Linked DNA regions of Nothobranchius furzeri. The protein of the gene in region 1 interacts with the protein of each later gene in a biochemical or structural test. Links are inferred from orthologs where the notes say so. Each region holds a gene or a part of one and is shown in the gene's direction. Other genes may lie near its edges. The genes, in order: mmp2 and metalloproteinase inhibitor 4.

What was found.
Region 2: the proteins of mmp2 (region 1) and metalloproteinase inhibitor 4 form a complex in vitro, tested with the Homo sapiens proteins (2 studies listed by BioGRID). The link is inferred for Nothobranchius furzeri from reciprocal best matches to the Homo sapiens genes MMP2 and TIMP4.

Annotation. Positions count from the first base shown.
Region 1 is NC_091749.1:73,111,726-73,115,542, forward strand, and holds part of mmp2 (72 kDa type IV collagenase), read left to right. Parts: coding exon 1-135; intron 136-296; coding exon 297-452; intron 453-545; coding exon 546-672; intron 673-3,817.
Region 2 is NC_091743.1:63,393,823-63,398,278, reverse strand, and holds the start of metalloproteinase inhibitor 4, read left to right. Parts: upstream 1-1,360; 5' UTR 1,361-2,010; coding exon 2,011-2,149; intron 2,150-4,456. Other genes in the region: syn2b (synapsin-2b), read right to left, coding at 173-315, 1,067-1,129. UniProt on the Homo sapiens protein: Complexes with metalloproteinases (such as collagenases) and irreversibly inactivates them by binding to their catalytic zinc cofactor. Known to act on MMP-1, MMP-2, MMP-3, MMP-7 and MMP-9.

The DNA of each region.
Region 1 (3,817 bases):
GCGCCTTCCCTTTCACCTTCCTGGGAGACAGCTATGATTCCTGCACCTCCTCTGGACGCAGCGATGGGAAGATGTGGTGCGCCACCACCAAGAGCTACGATGACGACCGCAAGTGGGGCTTCTGTCCTGACCAAGGTACGAGACGTGTGGGCGGGTTTTATTAGCTACCAAGTACACAGAGAAGCACCTCCAATAAGCAGGAAGCCATTAGAATCCGTGCTAGCAGCGGTAGTTCGTTTGTCCGTGAATGCAGAGCGAGATGAATCATGCTCCCGCTGGTCTGGCTCTGTCTTAAGGCTACAGTTTGTTTCTGGTGGCGGCCCATGAGTTTGGTCATGCTTTGGGTTTGGAGCACTCTCAGGACCCCGGAGCACTGATGGCTCCTATTTACACGTTTACCAAAGACTTCAGACTTTCTCACGACGACGTTCAGGGCATCCAAGAGCTCTACGGTGAGAAGAACAAAAGAAAAGTGTTTTCGTCTTTAGAGCAGAGTTAAGAGTAGCAGGCGGTTATGTGTGACTTTTCCCTCCGCTCACCAACAGGAGTACCAACAGACAAGCCGGTATCTCCAACCCAGGGTCCCGTCACTCCAATGGACATCTGCAGGGAGCCGGTTATCTTTGATGCTGTTGCACAGATCAGGGGAGAAACCTTTTTCTTCAAAGACAGGTAGTTTTATGTTTTACCTGAAAAATTGCCTCAAAGAAAAATGAATGTAATGCACGTTGGTGACTTGGTTGCTTGAGTAGTTCAGAGGGATGCTGGTCACTTTTATACTGTACACACAAACAGTGATCAGATTTTTACAACCTAATTACTGTTTTGCACACCAGAGTCTGTTGCTTTAAATGGATGTGACAATCGGCAAACCATTCCTCTGCTTATGCAGTGGCAACCAAAATAGTCATCAATCATAAACACAGTCTACAATCCTGCTCTCCACTGGCGCCAGTCCTCCCAGAGCCTCACAAGTTCATGCAGAGCTTTTGGGTTGTGCACTAGAAGAGATCTCTGATGGTTTGGTCAACAGTCCGTGTAGTTTGTGCGTTTTTCTGCTGGAAGGCTAAAATGTAAACATTGATTCTTTATCATTTTGAGGTTTGCATGTCTGTGTGCCCATAAACCATAAAAACAGGTCCAGAGCAAATACGTCAGCAGACCTAAGCACCACAGGGTCCTGTTCTGTTTATCTCAAGGTGAAACCTGCGGAACACAAACCACACTGTTGCTCACAAATCCTGTTTTACTGCAGAAGTGCTTTTCACCTGGCTTATCCACACATTCACTGTGAGCAGCAGAGCAGCTCGGGAGCTCAGAGTGCTCCACAGACCATGAAGGTTTGGCCCAGTTGTCAGAAATCAAGCTGAGCTGCTATTTAATTCCCTTGAAGGAGTCAGTGGGTTGAGGATTTGGAAAGACACATAAAAAGAAAAGGTCTGCCTTTTCTCTTACTTTCTTGTGACGACGTTGACACGGAAACGCAATAAACAGATGTTTCATCTAAAACTTGCACAACAGTGAAGAGATTGCTTTGTTGCAACAGTGGTGCGTGGCTGTAAATGTCATCATTGAAACGCTCATTAGGAGGAATAATCCGTGAGGATTGTACATTTGTGGCGTGAGCAACACAACCACATGTGTGGGTAGCACATCAACAACTAAAAATACCAAAATCTGCGGGTATTCGCTTACACTGTAGATGGTGTCAGTGGCTTGTGGAAGAGCCAAACACAACCACAACAGTTTAGCTCCTCCCACTCATGCTGGTCACCAGGCTGGTAACTGGGGCAGTGATTAATGTTGCGATGATGATATTGCTTGCGAAAAATAAAAACTTCACCCAGGAACAAAAATAATCAAAAACAAAGAAATAAAAAAATCATAAAAATGAGAAAAGCAAAAGATGTGAGGAAAGGGAAAGGCGTTGTCTTCGTCCGCTTATCCGGGTCCGGGTCGCGGGGGCAGCATCCCAACTAGGGAGCTCTAGACCGTCCTCTCCCCGGCCACTTCCACCAGCTCCTCCGGCAGGACCCCAAGGCGTTCCCGGACCAGATTGGAGATGTAACCTCTCCAACGTGTCCTGGGTCGACCCGGGGGCCTCCTGCTGGCAGGACATGCCCGAAACACCTCCCCAGGGAGGCGTCCAGGAGGCATCCTGACCAGATGCCCAAACCACCTCAACTGACTCCTTTCGATCTGGAGGAGCAGCGGCTCTACTCTGAGTCCCTCCCGAATGTCCGAGCTCCTCACAAGAAACAAGAACGAGAAAAGGCGATCTGTGGATCCCGGGAAAAGCAAAAAGAACAGAGCAAAGCTAACTCAGGTGTTTGCTAACCATCTAAATTAAGTGCCGTCCGCCTCGGGGGCGGGCCTCTAACCTATGAGAACCCAACCAATTGGCCAAATGGGTGAAGAGCTCTATTTGATTTGTTCAAAAACATCATGCTTCCGTTTGATTGACAGAATGCATCATGTGTGGCAATTTATCTGTTCTTTGCGATATGCATATTGTGCATGCTGATGTCGCGATAACGATATATTTACGATATTATGGGGGGCGACGGTGGCACAGGAGTTAAGTGCTCGCCCATAATCGGAAGGTTGCAGGTTCGAGCCCCGCTCAGTCTGTCACTGTTGTTGTGTCCTGGGGCAAGACACTTAACCCACGTTGCCTGCTGGTGGTGGTCGGAGGGACTGGTGGCGCCAGTGCTCGGCAGCCTCGCCTCTGTCTGTGCACCCCAGGGCAGCTGTGGCTACATCGTAGCTCATCACCATCAGTGTGTGAATGTGTGAATGACTGATTGTGTTGTAAAGCGCCTTGGGGGGTTCCATGACTCTAGAAGGCGCTATATCAAATAGAGGCCATTTACCGTTTACCATATTGTGCATGCTGATTTCGCGATAACGATATATTTACGATATATTGTGCAGTCTGTTTGGTTGTGGGACATCTTCCAGTTTTTTGACTAGTAGTTGTTGAAGGTCGGTGTTGGTAACTCCAGCACATGCAGAATATCCAAGATGCCCAGTGGCTGTCATGTAGGTGCCAACCAGATGAACACTGCAGGCAGCAACGGGAGCTTGGAGCAAGAGGGCATGCCACCATGAGAGGATGTCAGTGCATTTGTTGGGGGAGCTGCACAAACATGAATCCGTGCTGCTCCTTCTGCAGATGCACACTCCTGACTTCTAACTTGTTGTAAAGGTGACTCAAGTGTGGTGGAAGATCCATTGTTACAACTAAAAGAACTGAGCAAACTTGCATTTTTACTTTTTGTTGTAAATTTAAAATCAGGAAAATGTCACAGCTGGATTACTTACTACCTTTATCATCTAGATTTGTTTTTGTGTTGGGCTTCTTTTTCCATGCACAGCCTTGTCAAGCTGTTTAACGCGTTAATGCACAAATAAGAAAACAAGTGATATTTTCTTGTGCACAAAATATGTCAGGGCATGGTTTAGAGGACATGCAACATGAAGTAGAGAGCCAGGGTGGCAGCCAGGAGACTTCTTATTTTAAATAAGTAAGGTCAGAACCATGTGCAACAGGTAGGAACGGAGACCGAGCCGGGTTGAAGTAGAACTGAGGAGGGGAGCGAAGACAAGGGAAACAGCTGTGATGATACTGATAACAATGGGCAGGTGTGAGTCATTAACCAGGCTCTTAGGCAGAAAAGCACAAAGACGCTGGGAGAAGCAGAACTGTAGATTAACTAAAGATACAACACTGAAAACCGAAGGTTGGTAACCAGTGGACTGAACTAAAATAAAAACAAGGAGCACAGAACTAAACCCCGGAAGAGAAAATACAAGG
Region 2 (4,456 bases), on another chromosome or scaffold:
CAACAAGCAGTAAAATAACAACTTCCAGAGGTAGGGCGTCTCTTCAGGACAACAGCCCGTGACGTAGTAATCGGTCTGCACATTTCCCCAAAGAAGCACATATCGACGAGTAGCATGGATAGTCGGAACACCAGGAAGTTCCGGTAGTGGAAACACGCTGAATGTCACTTACATGTAGGCTTTGTAGTCTGCACCAATTTTCTGGACCCTGATGTCGTACTTGGCATCTACAAATGGTTCTGTTGTACAGTAGGTCTGAGTGATGGCTACAACACTCGCAATATCCTGGAAGTCACTCACATTATCCACTCGAACCTAAAGAAAAATGATATATAATTAAAAAAAGTACTCATTCATTGTAAAAAGAGTTTGGGAATGGTTTAAGACTATGCCACTGTTTTAGATGTAAAACTAGATTTTTAGTCACATTCCTTCCGCTAGTTTTTTCTTTACAAAATTTTAGTGATAGAAATTTTAAAGGGGACATATTATGCAAAACGTACATTTTTCATCCTTTTGTACGGCCATGTGGGTTTTTACTGCCACTATAAACAACCCAAGTATAAACAAAAAAATCTGTCCATCTGTTTTTTGTGTGGGGTTTGGTTTTAGGAAATATGTGCCTAAAACACACTGTTTCTAAAAGTCCCTGTTTGTGATGTCACAAATGAGGAAAGTAGAATAGAACCATCCCTCATGTGCGAGAGGGAGCTGCTGTCGGAGGAACAGAGGCTCTACTCTCAGCCCCTTGTAGGCATCAGAGCATAGTAGCCTGAGCGGAGGATTGGGGGGGGGGGGGGGGGGGGTGTCAGTTCCAGCCTGTTTTCTTAAAGCGACCAATCCCTGAAATGGCTCATTCAGGAAGGTTCTGAATCTGTCAAGAATAAAAAAGCTGACATTGCTTTATGCGAGAGGAACTTAGAGTAAAGAACTTTGATATCGACAATGGAACTATTATGAATTTAAAAAAGATCACTTTAAGGCTGCTTTCACTGCATGAAATGTTTATTAAACTAATCAGTTTTCCTGTAAATGTCAGTTTGTTCATGTTTTTGGATTGTAGTACCTTTCCCATTCCAGAGTGAGCATGCCCAATCTTCACCACTACCGGGAAACTCGGTGTTGTGATCTGCAAAACAAAAGAAAAAGACAAATGAGAAGCAGCAGAAACACAACAGATGCAAAGCACAAGATGTTCTAAAAACACCCTGCAGTGGAATTCAGAACCTGAGGCTACAAGCCTCATGTTTCCTGTCTGGAAGTCTTTGAAGACTAAATAGTTTGTAAAGACCCCCCCCCAAAAGTCTTTAAAGAAACAAAAAAATACAAATGTGCTGTAATAAGAAACAGGGGCTTTGTAATTCTTGCTAGCATTAAAACAAATGAATCAAAAGTATGGCGTTCAGATAAATACAATTACAGTTTTAATGTTTATAGGCTTTAATGCAAGATGAACCCTAAACCTGCAGAACAGATACGTCTTAGATGAGTTTATTGTGGCCGATAAGAGTTTTCTAGGGGAGAAGAGATGAAGAGTTTTAAAAGAGAGCTAAAGAAGGTGCCAGGTTTTTTCTCTGCATTTTAGGAGGCTGTGCTTAAATTGTTGAGCACATAAGAGGCTCCCTGTGTGCGACCCTCTCAGCATTCAAGGCCAGAGTGAGAGGGGATCTAACTATTGTAAGTCTCTGTGTGTTGTCTACAGAGAGGGGGAGACAGAAAGAAAGACAGGAGAAGAGAGCAGCAGCGGGAGCAGCAGCAGCCTTCAACTCGAGTTATTTGCTGCAGCTTGAATTCAGAGTTGTACTCTAAACTTATGAAAACATTTCTATCCACTGTCGCCTCTCAGCTCTGCAGAGCTCGCCCTGTCACTTCGGCCCCGTCGTCTCACCCTCCACACAGCCCCTCTGCAGACTATCGACCTGACTTGACTTCCATTAAACTTAACGGGAAGAGAAGAGGCTGCGGAGTGTTCATCAAGTGGAGAAGCGATCAGAGGTAGCCAGAGCTGTCATGGCCATGTCCCAGGAACGGAGCGTGCATCTGGGGCTGTGGATGCTCCTTTTGCTTGGAGCAGGCGTGGAGGAAGCTGTGGAGGGATGTAGCTGCCACCCAGCACACCCACAGCAGCTATTTTGCAGCGCTGAGATTGGTGAGTCATTCTCCAAAGATTCATTAACTTTTACTAACACTGCTGAGTATTTCCTCATTGTCTTAGTTAATTATCGTAAAACCGATTCTCTCATTGATTACTTTAATTCAGTCAATGGAGAGCAGAGGACCAATCCATAACAAGCACTAAGAAGAAATCCGCTGAGCTGAACTGTTGGGGGTTTTCATTCCTTGAAACTGTAGCTTTATGAAATTTAATCATAATTTATGGGTGTTCCTCAAATTACAGACTAGCAAGACTTATGAACAAACAGTTTGTGTGTCATTAGCTTTAAAAACAACCTCAATCTGTACAACACTGCCTACCAGAGTGCCCCCCCTCCCACCCCCCCCACCCAAAAACACTCCCATCCAGTTCTTTCTTGTTTGAGCCAAAACCAACACTCTGCTTTGACTCAGAGTACTTGGCTCTGGGTTGTGGAAAGCCAGAGTATCTGCTCCTGTCAGAGGTTACACTCCAGCAGGGGAGAAGGGGGCGGAGCCAAAAGAAAGAAATTACTTTTTCTCCATCTTGTTTTTTAATTGGTCTCCGTCTCCCTTTAGGTTTAGGTGGTACGCAATTTCAAAAGACTTTTAATAATGAGTCTGCATGGAATGGAAGACAGGGCCTGTTTTTCTACCACGAGGACTAAAGCCAAGTAAAATCTGGGCTAATGGGATGCAATGAGAGCCACAAACACATGAATTGTGTCATTCATGACTGAGACAAGCATGATTAATCTGAATTATATTATGAGCCTTGGTGTTTGGAGGTTATATTCTAATTTTTAGGCCTGCTTGAGTGAGATTAGATCAGTGACAAAACAACCTCAGAGAGCTTAGATACCATCAGGGTTTCATCACAATTGTGATTCTTGAGTATTGTGTCCAAACTGTCTTTAAAACAGTCATATGAACCATGAAAGCTCAGCCGTAACCTATTGACTCATTGAGTGCAGCTAAACAGATCTACATGTTATATTTATTGATGCTAAAGCTTTTAGTACACAGGAGTGAATGTATCTGAAATTATAGTTAGTGACACAAACAAAACGCAACAAGAATTGCTTTTTAGGAGAAAGAAACATTTGTGTAAAATTAAAATTAGACTGTTTGTTTACATCTTCTCCATGTATTCATGTTGCTGCGTGCACGTTTAAAGCTTCAAATTTATTTGAGATAAGAACAAGCACCAGTCACAAAAAATAAAATAGTATTAGCAAAGTTGTTTGATTCTAGCCTGCAGGTCAGGATGCTAACCACCCAGCTGCCAAAGATATGTGTTTTTTAACAAAGCAACATGGAATTTTGTAGTTTGATGGGTTACTGAAATTCAATTTACTGTTTCCATTGATTTCTGTCCTTATTTGAGTTACATATGACTGTTCTACTCAAATAATTAAAACAAACTGTTAAATAATGTTACACTTAAACCCTCCATCTTCCTCCATCCAATGCTTGGGTTGAAATAGTTGCACTTTTTCATTTTACAGCTTTGTTTGAGTTTTAAAAGGTGTTGAACACTTGTTTAATTAAAACATCTGCAGTGGGCTCTAGTAGGAATGAATGCCTTGGAAAGCCTGGTTTACGCTTCTCCGTCAGCTCCGCAAGGGACAGACACGCACGGATTGACGGAAGCGTTTTGCTCTCATACTTCTCCGTCTCCTGGAGAGTGTTGCAAAGCAATTGCCTGGCAGGACAACAGAGGGCGTAGCGCTGTTCTGTGGTATCCTGTCGTGTATCTGTCCAAGATCGTGTGTTTTTATTGTGTTTTTTGTGTATATAAGAGACTTTTAACACGGACATATTTGTCTCTCATTCTCCCACCGCTTCATGCACTCCCCACCTCTAAACCCACGTTTCCTGTCATTTAAATCCACAAATAAAATGCTTGCTGCGCATCTTTTCACTCATCCAGTCACTGGGGAATTAAACGTTCATATTTTTAGAGTTTTTTCGCGAGGTATTCTTCAAGCTTCTCCATGTCTGCCGCTAGTTATCCTCGGCTCTCTTTGCAATGGCGGCGCTGTAAACAACAGCGGCGTCCTGACCAATCACAAGCTTGCGTAATCCGTCTCGTTCGACGGATGTTTAAAAAAGTGGGCTCGACTCCATACGTACTTGCATGCCCTACGCAAGGACGGATAATGGCGTTGCGTGTCTCCGCACTGACGCAGACGGAGAAGCATAAATCAGGCTTAGGTGTGTGTGTGGGTGTGTGGGGTGGGGGGTGTCAGATGATCTTGTTTCAGGAACTAGCAGAATGCCACATCAGAGGAGAGCTTAACACTGCAGGATTTCTTATTTC